Linked DNA regions of Drosophila melanogaster. Changing the gene in region 2 together with the main gene of any one other region gives a genetic interaction. Each region holds a gene or a part of one and is shown on either strand. Other genes may lie near its edges.

The links.
Region 1: of Zw10 (region 2) and asp, changing one suppresses a phenotype caused by changing the other (phenotypic suppression), as found in Drosophila melanogaster (one study listed by BioGRID).

Annotation. Positions count from the first base shown.
Region 1 is NT_033777.3:24,752,159-24,760,002, forward strand, and holds the start of asp (abnormal spindle), read left to right. Parts: upstream 1-1,690; 5' UTR 1,691-1,882; coding exon 1,883-1,897; intron 1,898-1,969; coding exon 1,970-2,146; intron 2,147-2,198; coding exon 2,199-2,411; intron 2,412-2,490; coding exon 2,491-7,372; intron 7,373-7,432; coding exon 7,433-7,734; intron 7,735-7,798; coding exon 7,799-7,844. Other genes in the region: tld (tolloid), read left to right, coding at 1-259, 316-1,262. UniProt on the Drosophila melanogaster protein: Required to maintain the structure of the centrosomal microtubule organizing center (MTOC) during mitosis. May have a preferential role in regulating neurogenesis. Required for germ cell mitosis and oocyte differentiation.
Region 2 is NC_004354.4:2,602,605-2,607,547, forward strand, and holds Zw10 (Zeste-white 10), read left to right. Parts: upstream 1-1,592; 5' UTR 1,593-1,698; coding exon 1,699-3,048; intron 3,049-3,109; coding exon 3,110-3,925; 3' UTR 3,926-4,220; downstream 4,221-4,943. Other genes in the region: Klp3A (Kinesin-like protein at 3A), read right to left, coding at 1-18, 90-241, 315-994; Smyd3 (SET and MYND domain containing, class 3), read right to left, coding at 4,222-4,592, 4,658-4,943. UniProt on the Drosophila melanogaster protein: Essential component of the mitotic checkpoint, which prevents cells from prematurely exiting mitosis. Required for the assembly of the dynein-dynactin, Mad2 complexes and spindly/CG15415 onto kinetochores.

The DNA.
Region 1 (7,844 bases), on a different chromosome or scaffold from region 2:
GTTGCGCCACCGAATCACGCGGTGTTCCTAAACTTTTCCCACTTTGATTTGGAGGGCACACGGTTTCACTACACCAAGTGCAACTATGATTACCTGATTATATACTCCAAAATGAGGGATAATCGCCTGAAGAAGATTGGCATTTATTGTGGTCATGAACTACCTCCAGTGGTGAATTCCGAGCAGAGTATCCTCAGGCTGGAGTTCTACTCGGATCGCACTGTCCAGAGAAGTGGATTTGTGGCCAAGTTTGTAATAGGTAACTTACAGAAAAAAATTAATTTACGTACGATCTATAATATCATTATTCCACAGATGTGGATGAGTGTTCAATGAACAATGGTGGCTGTCAGCACCGATGCCGAAACACCTTTGGATCCTATCAGTGCAGCTGCCGCAATGGATACACATTGGCTGAAAATGGACACAACTGCACGGAGACGCGTTGCAAGTTCGAGATCACCACGTCGTATGGAGTGTTGCAGAGTCCCAACTATCCGGAGGATTATCCAAGAAACATTTACTGCTACTGGCATTTTCAGACCGTACTGGGCCACCGGATACAGTTGACATTCCACGACTTTGAGGTGGAGAGCCACCAGGAGTGCATCTACGACTATGTGGCTATCTATGATGGTCGCTCCGAAAATAGCTCAACATTGGGCATCTATTGCGGTGGACGTGAACCGTATGCCGTTATTGCCTCCACCAATGAGATGTTTATGGTACTGGCCACGGATGCGGGTCTTCAGAGAAAGGGTTTCAAGGCCACCTTTGTCTCCGAATGTGGTGGCTACTTGAGGGCCACAAATCATTCACAGACCTTCTACTCGCATCCACGATACGGCAGTAGGCCGTACAAGCGGAACATGTACTGCGATTGGCGCATTCAGGCAGACCCGGAAAGCAGTGTCAAGATCCGTTTCCTACACTTCGAGATCGAGTACTCGGAGCGATGCGACTACGATTATCTGGAGATCACCGAGGAGGGCTACTCAATGAACACTATCCACGGCAGATTTTGCGGAAAGCACAAGCCGCCAATCATAATCTCCAACTCGGACACCCTTCTGTTGCGATTCCAAACGGACGAGAGTAACTCATTGAGAGGCTTCGCCATCTCCTTCATGGCCGTGGATCCACCGGAAGATTCTGTTGGCGAGGATTTCGACGCGGTTACACCCTTTCCGGGCTATCTCAAGAGCATGTATTCCTCAGAAACGGGCAGCGACCACCTCCTGCCACCCAGCAGACTCATTTAGATAAAATGAGAGGTCCAGCGAAGGGATTTAGAGTTTAATGTTTGTTGTTGAAATTTGTAAATAGATTGTGAATAAAAGATATTTCGAGTCATTTTGTTTACCCTATATTTTATTTTTAAAGGCACATAATATTTATATCTGTGATAATACACATTTGAATTTGGCGCTATAAAACTGTGCAACGTTCACACTGAGGATATCGATTGGTGGTGTTAACACATCTGGGTTACTCACAATTTATGTAAAATTACACAAAATAATATTCCTTAGAATGATCTTATCATATTAAATAATTTATGTTTAAAAATTGCGGACAAATGTAATCCTTATATTTTTAAGTCTATCGAAAACCATTCTGAAGACCCCTAACATTTCACAATCGATAGGTCGAATTGTTCGATAGCCCTTTGCTCCAGCAATCAAGCAATCGAGTATCGGCGTCGCTTCGTTTCGAATTTCAGTTCGAATTTGGATTTGTGCGGCGACGCTCTAATTTGTTTAATTTTTGTTCGTTAATTGTGTTAATTGATTAGTTAGTCGCTGTGTTAATGGACCACTAAGTTAGCTGCGAGCCCGTTTCTGTTTAGTTCAAGTTATTTCTGTTTTGGCCATTCCCTGCAATGAGCGCCTTTGAGGTTAGTTGAGTCCTCTTTTTGGAACTCCGGCAATAATTTTCCGAGAAATAACTAGATTACCGGTACTTACAGATCACAGTGACGCCATCGCGCCTAAAGCAAAAGAAGCGCGCCGAAGGACGCGAGCCCGCCGTCGTCGTCATGGCTCCGTTCTCCGCCAAGGCGATTGTGCAGTTCGAGGATGTGCCGATAACAAAGACAGCACGGCGCCAGGTGCGCGTTCTCAATCCCAGCGACGACGACATCGAGGTTAGTGGGTTGCATACGGCCTGGCAACTGTTATTTGATCAATGTTTTACAGGTCAAGGTAATGAAGGCCATCCGGGAGGAGCACAACTTAAGCCTGGAGTGGATGGAGCACACGGTGCCTGCAAGAGATGAGGTATCCATGGAGCTAGTGTGGAGCCCCGTCCTTGAGGTGGCCTGCAAGGAGACGCTGCAGCTAATAGACAACCGCAACTTCCGAAAGGAGGTGATGATCATACTCAAGTCCAAGAGCAACCAGCCGGTCAAGGTCAGTCAAAAAATGCATTTGCCACCCCTTTTACTTACATACCCTCTTTTGCATGTATCTCTTACCTTTCTACCTGAAGAACCCGCGCAAATTTCCTACTGTCGGCAAGACCCTGCAGCTGAAATCGCCGACAGGAGCTGGCAAGACAATGAAAAGCGTGGTATCCGCTGCTGTGCAGCAAAAGAAGCGCATGTCTGCAGCAGCAGCGCCTCCCTCCAAGCAGACATGGCGAGTGACTGCTCCTTCGCGTCCCGCTGCATGGGCACATCCACCTCCACAGGCTCCTCTTGTCGAGAAGAATGTATACAAGACTCCACAAGAAGAGCCCGTATACATATCACCACAGCCTCGCAGTCTTAAGGAAAATCTAAGCCCTATGACGCCAGGAAACCTACTCGACGTGATTGACAATCTGCGATTCACACCTCTCACCGAAACCCGTGGCAAAGGACAAGCTACCATTTTCCCGGACAATCTGGCAGCCTGGCCCACACCAACACTTAAAGGGAATGTAAAATCATGTGCTAATGATATGCGGCCGCGTCGAATCACTCCAGATGATCTAGAAGATCAGCCTGCCACAAACAAAACGTTCGATGTAAAGCATTCCGAGACTATCAATATTTCGTTGGACACCTTGGACTGCTCCAGGATCGATGGACAACCGCATACGCCCCTAAATAAGACAACAACCATTGTGCATGCCACGCACACCAGAGCTCTGGCCTGTATTCATGAGGAGGAGGGACCAAGTCCACCTAGGACGCCCACGAAGAGCGCCATACACGACCTGAAGAGGGACATTAAGTTGGTGGGTTCACCCTTACGAAAGTATTCCGAGTCCATGAAAGATTTGTCACTTCTATCGCCACAAACTAAGTATGCCATTCAAGGGTCTATGCCTAATCTAAATGAAATGAAAATCCGCTCGATCGAACAGAATAGATATTACCAGGAGCAGCAGATCCAGATAAAGGCCAAAGACTTGAATAGCTCCTCTAGTAGCGAGGCTAGTTTGGCCGGCCAGCAGGAGTTTCTATTCAACCACAGTGAGATCCTCGCTCAGTCCAGTCGTTTTAATCTCCATGAAGTAGGTCGGAAGTCGGTGAAGGGAAGTCCGGTGAAGAATCCTCACAAGCGCCGCTCTCATGAGTTGAGTTTTTCGGATGCACCTAGCAACGAATCATTGTACCGCAATGAAACTGTAGCCATTTCCCCTCCTAAAAAGCAACGGGTTGAGGACACTACTCTGCCCAGAAGTGCAGCGCCGGCAAATGCATCTGCAAGAAGCAGTAGTGCCCACGCCTGGCCACACGCCCAATCCAAGAAGTTTAAGCTAGCACAAACCATGTCACTGATGAAGAAGCCCGCCACACCACGAAAAGTCAGGGACACTAGCATTCAGCCTTCCGTCAAGCTCTATGACTCGGAGCTGTATATGCAGACGTGCATCAACCCGGATCCATTTGCAGCAACTACGACAATTGATCCATTTCTGGCATCTACCATGTATTTGGATGAACAGGCTGTGGATCGTCATCAAGCTGACTTTAAAAAGTGGTTAAATGCCCTTGTCTCCATACCCGCTGACCTGGACGCAGATTTAAATAACAAAATAGACGTTGGTAAGCTGTTTAACGAGGTGCGCAACAAAGAGCTCGTGGTGGCTCCCACCAAGGAGGAGCAGTCTATGAACTACCTAACGAAATACCGCCTGGAGACGCTTCGTAAGGCGGCTGTGGAGCTCTTCTTCAGTGAGCAGATGCGCCTGCCATGCTCCAAAGTGGCCGTATATGTCAACAAGCAAGCTCTGCGCATCCGTAGCGATCGTAATCTTCACCTAGACGTAGTTATGCAACGCACCATACTTGAGCTGCTGCTTTGCTTCAATCCCCTTTGGCTGCGCCTTGGACTGGAAGTGGTCTTTGGCGAGAAGATCCAGATGCAGTCTAATCGAGACATTGTAGGCCTCAGCACCTTTATCCTCAATCGCTTGTTCCGGAATAAGTGTGAGGAGCAGAGGTACAGCAAGGCATACACACTCACCGAAGAGTACGCGGAGACCATTAAGAAGCACTCATTGCAGAAAATCCTCTTTTTGCTGCTTTTCCTCGATCAAGCTAAGCAGAAGCGCATCGTCAAGCACAATCCCTGTTTGTTTGTTAAAAAGTCGCCACATAAAGAGACCAAGGATATTCTGCTGCGCTTCTCGTCGGAGCTGCTCGCCAACATTGGTGATATTACGCGGGAACTTCGTCGCCTGGGCTACGTTCTACAGCACCGCCAAACATTTTTGGACGAGTTCGATTATGCCTTCAACAACTTGGCTGTGGACCTAAGAGATGGCGTGAGACTAACCCGAGTCATGGAGGTAATTTTACTACGCGATGATCTAACCCGCCAGTTAAGGGTGCCAGCCATCTCTCGCCTTCAGCGGATCTTCAATGTAAAGCTAGCTCTGGGCGCACTTGGTGAAGCCAACTTCCAGCTAGGCGGCGACATCGCCGCCCAAGACATCGTTGACGGACATCGTGAGAAGACGCTTTCCCTGCTCTGGCAACTTATTTACAAATTCCGCTCGCCCAAGTTTCATGCGGCGGCCACGGTGCTCCAGAAATGGTGGCGCCGTCACTGGCTGCACGTTGTTATCCAGCGTCGCATTCGCCACAAAGAGCTTATGCGTCGCCACCGGGCCGCTACTGTCATTCAGGCCGTGTTCCGTGGCCACCAGATGAGAAAGTACGTGAAGTTGTTTAAGACGGAACGCACTCAGGCCGCAATAATTCTGCAAAAGTTCACCCGTCGGTATTTGGCCCAGAAGCAGCTATATCAGAGCTATCACAGTATTATCACCATCCAGCGCTGGTGGCGAGCCCAACAACTGGGAAGGCAGCACCGCCAGCGGTTTGTGGAGCTCCGAGAGGCTGCGATCTTTCTTCAGCGGATCTGGCGGCGACGACTCTTTGCCAAAAAACTATTGGCGGCGGCGGAAACAGCCAGACTTCAGCGATCGCAAAAACAACAGGCAGCTGCTAGTTATATTCAAATGCAATGGCGAAGCTATCAGCTGGGCAGAATTCAGCGACAGCAGTTCCTGCGCCAGAGGGACCTCATCATGTTTGTTCAGCGCAGGATGCGAAGCAAGTGGAGTATGCTGGAGCAGCGCAAGGAGTTCCAGCAACTAAAGCGTGCAGCTATAAATATCCAACAACGCTGGCGAGCGAAGCTTTCAATGAGAAAGTGCAACGCTGATTATTTGGCACTTCGTTCCAGCGTTCTTAAAGTTCAGGCTTACAGGAAAGCCACAATCCAGATGAGAATAGATCGTAATCACTACTATTCCCTGCGAAAAAATGTTATCTGCCTGCAACAGCGACTGAGGGCCATCATGAAAATGCGCGAACAGAGGGAAAATTATCTGAGGCTGCGAAATGCTTCAATACTAGTTCAAAAACGCTACCGCATGCGTCAACAAATGATCCAGGATAGAAATGCATATTTAAGAACCCGCAAATGTATCATCAATGTCCAGAGGCGCTGGAGAGCCACTCTGCAGATGCGTCGAGAAAGGAAGAACTACCTTCATCTCCAAACGACAACCAAACGAATTCAAATCAAGTTCCGTGCCAAGCGCGAAATGAAAAAGCAAAGAGCCGAGTTTCTTCAGCTGAAAAAGGTTACCCTTGTAGTCCAGAAACGTCGGCGGGCTTTGCTGCAGATGCGAAAGGAGCGCCAGGAGTACCTACATCTGCGCGAGGTTACCATAAAGCTGCAGCGCAGATTCCATGCTCAAAAATCAATGCGGTTCATGCGAGCCAAGTACCGCGGCACCCAGGCTGCTGTGAGCTGCCTGCAGATGCATTGGCGTAATCATCTCCTTAGGAAACGGGAGAGGAACAGTTTCTTACAACTGCGTCAAGCAGCAATAACACTGCAGCGACGGTACCGAGCTCGTCTGAATATGATCAAGCAGTTGAAGAGTTACGCCCAGCTGAAACAGGCAGCTATTACCATTCAAACCCGATATAGAGCCAAGAAGGCAATGCAAAAGCAGGTGGTCTTGTACCAAAAGCAAAGGGAAGCCATTATCAAAGTGCAACGACGATACCGCGGCAATCTGGAGATGAGGAAGCAGATTGAAGTCTACCAAAAACAGCGCCAGGCAGTCATCCGCTTGCAGAAATGGTGGCGCAGTATACGCGACATGCGGCTGTGCAAAGCGGGCTACCGAAGGATTCGACTCAGTTCATTGAGCATTCAACGCAAGTGGCGGGCCACAGTGCAGGCTCGTCGCCAACGGGAGATCTTCTTAAGCACCATCCGCAAAGTGCGACTTATGCAGGCATTTATCAGAGCAACTTTACTGATGCGTCAGCAGCGCAGGGAATTCGAGATGAAGCGAAGGGCTGCCGTAGTGATCCAGCGCCGGTTTCGTGCTCGCTGTGCTATGCTAAAGGCGAGACAGGATTACCAATTAATCCAATCCTCTGTGATCCTGGTGCAGCGCAAATTCCGTGCTAATCGCAGCATGAAGCAGGCACGCCAGGAATTTGTCCAGCTGCGTACTATTGCAGTCCATTTGCAACAAAAGTTCCGTGGCAAGCGTCTAATGATTGAGCAGCGTAATTGTTTCCAACTGCTCCGCTGTTCCATGCCGGGCTTCCAGGCACGTGCCCGCGGCTTTATGGCTCGCAAACGATTCCAGGCCCTGATGACACCCGAGATGATGGACCTCATCCGCCAGAAGCGCGCCGCCAAGGTTATACAGCGTTACTGGCGGGGCTATCTAATCCGACGACGTCAGAAGCACCAGGGTCTCTTGGATATCCGGAAGCGTATTGCTCAGCTGCGGCAAGAGGCAAAGGCGGTAAACTCTGTGCGCTGCAAAGTCCAGGAGGCGGTGCGTTTCCTTCGCGGACGCTTTATCGCATCAGATGCGTTAGCAGTGCTAAGTCGATTGGGTAAGTGATCCAGCTACGTTAGTCCTTATTATAACTAATCCTGCTTAATAATCCCGGCAGATCGTCTTTCGCGCACTGTGCCACACCTGCTCATGTGGTGTTCGGAGTTCATGTCCACGTTTTGCTATGGCATCATGGCTCAGGCCATTCGATCAGAGGTGGATAAGCAGCTTATAGAGCGCTGCAGCCGGATCATCCTAAATTTGGCCCGCTACAATAGCACCACGGTGAACACGTTCCAGGAGGGCGGTTTGGTCACCATTGCCCAGATGTTATTGCGCTGGTGCGACAAAGACAGTGAGATATTCAACACTTTGTGCACCCTCATTTGGGTATTCGCCCACTGTCCTAAAAAGCGAAAGGTAGCTAAATAGCGAGAGGATTAGGTTTTAGCGAGTTTTTAATCATATTCTTAATGCCTTCCAGATCATTCACGACTATATGACCAACCCAGAGGCCATTTACATGGTGC
Region 2 (4,943 bases):
AGCCAGCGGCCTGGCCAGCTGCAATTTATATGGAATATATAAAAATGGAGATCAATTTTCAAGCCAGTGGCTAAATGATAGATACTCACATCCCAGGGCATTGATCACGTTGCCCAGGGCCAGAAGACCCTTATTGATGTTCACACCCTCTTTGAACCGATCGCCGCTGGCTAGGGTCTTTGAGCAGCGTTCAGAACCAGCCAGATCCACCAGGTTGAACCTGGACGTGGTAACGGATTGCCTATCGGAGATTGGAGGTCAAATGTGTATAAGCATTAAGTATTCTAACGAGGTGATGGCGGCCCACAACATACTTGCCGTCCAGCTTGGTGGCTACTAGCGTCAATGTGAATATGGCATGGGATCTTGAAGAGGTTTCATTCATAGCCGTGGCGGCCACAGCCCGTCCGGCTGAGCCGCGGATCAGATGATCGGTCACTTGCTGGGCGGATGTGACCACTAGCTCGGTGAGGCCCGGCATGATAATACGGTTCTTGACCTCCCTGATGTCTACGGTGGCCTTGTCCCGAGTTTTCGACGAAAAAAGGTCATAGAACTGCTCCTGGTAGAGCTCCACAAAAGAGCATGTGACAGCAAAACGAAATTCGCTCTGCATTTCCGCAATGGCTGTGAATATATCATGAACGGCGCGTGGTATAACGCCCACATGGTCATCTAACACTCCGTTGAAGGCGGTGCCCATAGTGTAGGTCTTTCCGGAACCCGTTTGTCCATATGCCAAGATTGTTACGTTATAGCCATTTAACAGCTTTTTCACTTTGGCCTGTACACACGTCTCGAATAGATCCTTTTGCGAGTCGTCAATGTCGAAGACATAGTTGTACGTATACGACTCATTCCGGTTGACTGTAACCTGTGGCGCTCCATCCGCCGATCGTTCGACGGCAATCCGGCAGCCGCGATCCAACTCGGACTGCACCAAGGGGCGCACGCGCAAGGCCACTGCCACACAGCTGGGATCCTCGCTGGACATCTGGGGGTAGGGGGAGGGAAGGACAATCATAACATTCCATCACCTTTACCGCCATCTCGACCAACACCACCAACCACTTACCTTCTCTGGGGCACAGCAAGTCCGACTTTGGTTAACTGATCAACTGGTTAGCACTTACAAAAACTTAGAATTTTGGTTGGTCTAGATTTTGGAGCAACGCGGCTTCTCCACGCGCAGCCCGGCACTCTCAATGAATTCGATTTTTGGATCAAGGAACTAAACTAATGAAACGCGACGCTAAGAAGCAAATGCATTTCTGCCAGTATTTTTAAAAATGGCGTTGTTATCGATTCGTTGCAGATGTCGATTAGTGGCGCGATCGACGGAGGTGCCGGTGTAGAAAGATTTCGATTTTTTTATAATTTGGCTCTTGAATAGCACATTTGCAAAAATGTGGTTGGACGATTTGTGCACGCCGATTTGACAAAATGAATCATTGACAGTGTATCTACATACTTATACATAAAAATAAAAGCTACCTAGATCTACAACTATTTTAGCTACTGCCAGTGATAAGAGCCCAATTCTTGTCAACTAGCCAATTCGCCGATAGCCGATAGCAGACAGCCGCACATATCTATCGCTTTTTTGAACAATCGTTGGTAGCAACAGGGAATTGCAGAAACCAGTTGTCTTGGGTTTCGCAAGAATTGGAAAAGGAGGATCTGGTCAAAGAGCAGGACATGGAGGAAGAGGCGCCGCGGTTCAATGTGCTGGAGGAGGCGTTCAACGGCAATGGGAACGGGTGCGCCAACGTGGAGGCCACCCAATCGGCCATATTAAAAGTGCTGACGCGCGTTAATCGCTTCCAGATGCGCGTCCGCAAGCACATCGAAGACAACTACACGGAGTTTTTGCCCAACAACACGTCGCCGGACATATTTCTGGAGGAGTCGGGGTCCTTGAATCGCGAGATTCACGACATGCTCGAGAACTTGGGTTCCGAGGGACTGGACGCCTTGGACGAGGCGAATGTCAAGATGGCGGGTAACGGCAGGCAGCTGCGAGAGATCCTTTTGGGTCTGGGTGTCAGCGAGCATGTGCTAAGGATCGACGAGCTGTTCCAGTGCGTGGAGGAGGCCAAGGCCACCAAGGATTACTTGGTGTTACTGGACCTTGTCGGTCGTTTGAGGGCTTTCATCTATGGCGATGATTCCGTTGACGGGGACGCGCAGGTGGCCACGCCAGAGGTTCGACGCATCTTTAAGGCTCTCGAGTGCTACGAGACCATCAAGGTGAAATACCATGTACAGGCATATATGCTGCAGCAGAGCCTCCAGGAGCGCTTCGATCGCCTGGTGCAGCTGCAGTGCAAATCCTTTCCCACATCGCGTTGCGTCACCTTGCAGGTGAGCCGGGATCAAACGCAGCTGCAGGATATTGTGCAGGCTCTCTTCCAGGAGCCCTACAATCCGGCGCGCCTCTGCGAATTCCTGCTGGACAATTGCATAGAACCGGTGATCATGCGCCCAGTGATGGCCGATTACAGCGAAGAAGCCGATGGTGGCACCTACGTTCGATTGTCGCTTTCCTACGCCACCAAGGAGCCCAGCTCAGCGCAGCTTCGCCCGAACTACAAGCAGGTCTTGGAGAACCTCAGGCTGCTGCTGCACACGCTGGCCGGGATCAACTGCAGTGTGTCCAGGGACCAACATGTTTTTGGCATTATTGGCGATCATGTGAAGGATAAAATGCTGAAATTACTGGTGGACGAGTGCCTGATACCAGCTGTGCCCGAAAGCACGGAGGAGTATCAGACATCCACGCTGTGTGAGGATGTCGCCCAGCTGGAGCAGCTGCTTGTAGACTCATTCATCATCAATCCCGAGCAAGATCGAGCCCTAGGGCAGTTTGTAGAGAAGTACGAGACCTACTACCGCAATCGGATGTATCGTCGAGTTCTGGAAACGGCGCGGGAGATCATCCAGCGCGATCTGCAGGACATGGTGCTGGTGGCGCCCAACAACCACTCAGCCGAAGTGGCAAACGATCCCTTCCTCTTCCCACGCTGCATGATCTCGAAAAGTGCTCAGGTAAGTCGTTCGCTAAACGAAACGATTGATTACGCACTAATGGATTCATTTTCGCCGGCAGGACTTTGTCAAACTAATGGACCGCATTCTTCGCCAGCCCACGGATAAACTGGGCGACCAAGAGGCCGATCCCATAGCCGGCGTCATTTCCATCATGCTGCACACCTACATCAATGAGGTGCCCAAGGTGCACCGCAAGCTGCTCGAGAGCATTCCACAGCAGGCCGTCCTGTTCCACAACAATTGTATGTTCTTCACACACTGGGTAGCGCAGCATGCGAACAAGGGCATCGAAAGCTTGGCGGCGCTGGCCAAGACACTGCAGGCCACCGGTCAGCAGCATTTCCGCGTGCAGGTCGACTACCAATCCTCCATCCTGATGGGCATCATGCAGGAGTTCGAGTTCGAGAGCACGCACACGCTGGGCTCTGGTCCACTGAAGCTGGTGCGTCAGTGCCTTCGCCAGCTGGAGCTGCTGAAGAACGTGTGGGCCAATGTGCTCCCGGAGACCGTGTACAATGCAACCTTCTGCGAGCTAATCAACACATTTGTCGCCGAGCTAATCCGTCGAGTGTTCACGCTGCGCGACATTTCCGCACAGATGGCCTGTGAGCTGAGCGATCTCATTGACGTGGTGCTCCAGCGGGCGCCCACGCTTTTCCGCGAACCAAACGAGGTGGTCCAGGTGCTCTCTTGGCTTAAGCTGCAGCAACTGAAGGCCATGCTGAACGCGTCGCTCATGGAGATCACAGAGCTGTGGGGCGACGGCGTCGGCCCGCTGACCGCCAGCTACAAGTCGGATGAGATAAAGCACCTAATCAGGGCGTTGTTCCAGGATACGGATTGGCGGGCCAAGGCCATTACGCAGATTGTATAGGGCGCGTGCGCCTTTTTTGCGAGCGAGGAATGTTGAACGGCGGATAGACATCACATTTGAGGTGGTAAACGGAGTCTAAATTTGATGATCACCATCAATGTGTCCTTACTTTAATTCCTTGAATTGTTTACCACAAATGCCAAAAGTAATAGAATTTGATAATCTTTAATTCTCCGAATGGTTTCTGTTGTACATAGAAAAGTAATTATCCACAAAAATCCATTCCATTCTTCCCGCAACGCAACACAATATTTAACTTAAGACTTATTTAAATGAATAAAAACAACTAAATCCCATTAGTGCGCCTCTTGTCGCGCTTGTAGAACGAGCATGTATAGCTGCTCAGTAAGCAGTCTGTGATCTCGGCCGTGGGTGACGGTTAGGATGCGTTGGGCCTCCTCCAGATGGTGCAGTGCCTCCTTGGAATGGCCCTCGTAGAGCTGAATCTTGCCCAGCTTCATGTGAAGCAGGCCCAATAGCGGATTCCAGGGTCCGTGGTATTTTCGAAAGCCTGGCAGCAAACGTTGCCCGTAATCCAGGGCGTCGCTCCACTTGCCCACTTCGATGGCTGCTTCGAAGGCCGCATCGAGCGTCTTGACGTACCACACATTCAGGGGATGGAACACGCCAGTCTGCTTGTCCAGACACACCTTGCACACATCGAGATCTGTGATCGAGAGAGTGAAAATGTGCTTATTATGGAGCTAATTCCATTTCGTCGCATCTACTCACAGGCCACGTCCTTCATGTTCTCCAGATTGTGCCGGGTCAGAGTCATCGCCTCGTTGAAGGCATTTCTCAACTTGGGACTGATGCCGGCATCGCATCGCGGGCAATTATTGCGGTCCACACTGATTCCCGCACCGCAGTTGCGATTGGGACACAGGGCAGCCAGCATCTCCTTCGATTCCTTGGCATCCGTGCACTTGCTGCACACGCATAGGAAGTAGTAGTGCTCCTTGAGGTCCAGACGCCTCTGCTCCGGCGTATTGAGCAGGTCGATGTAGCTGATGAAGAT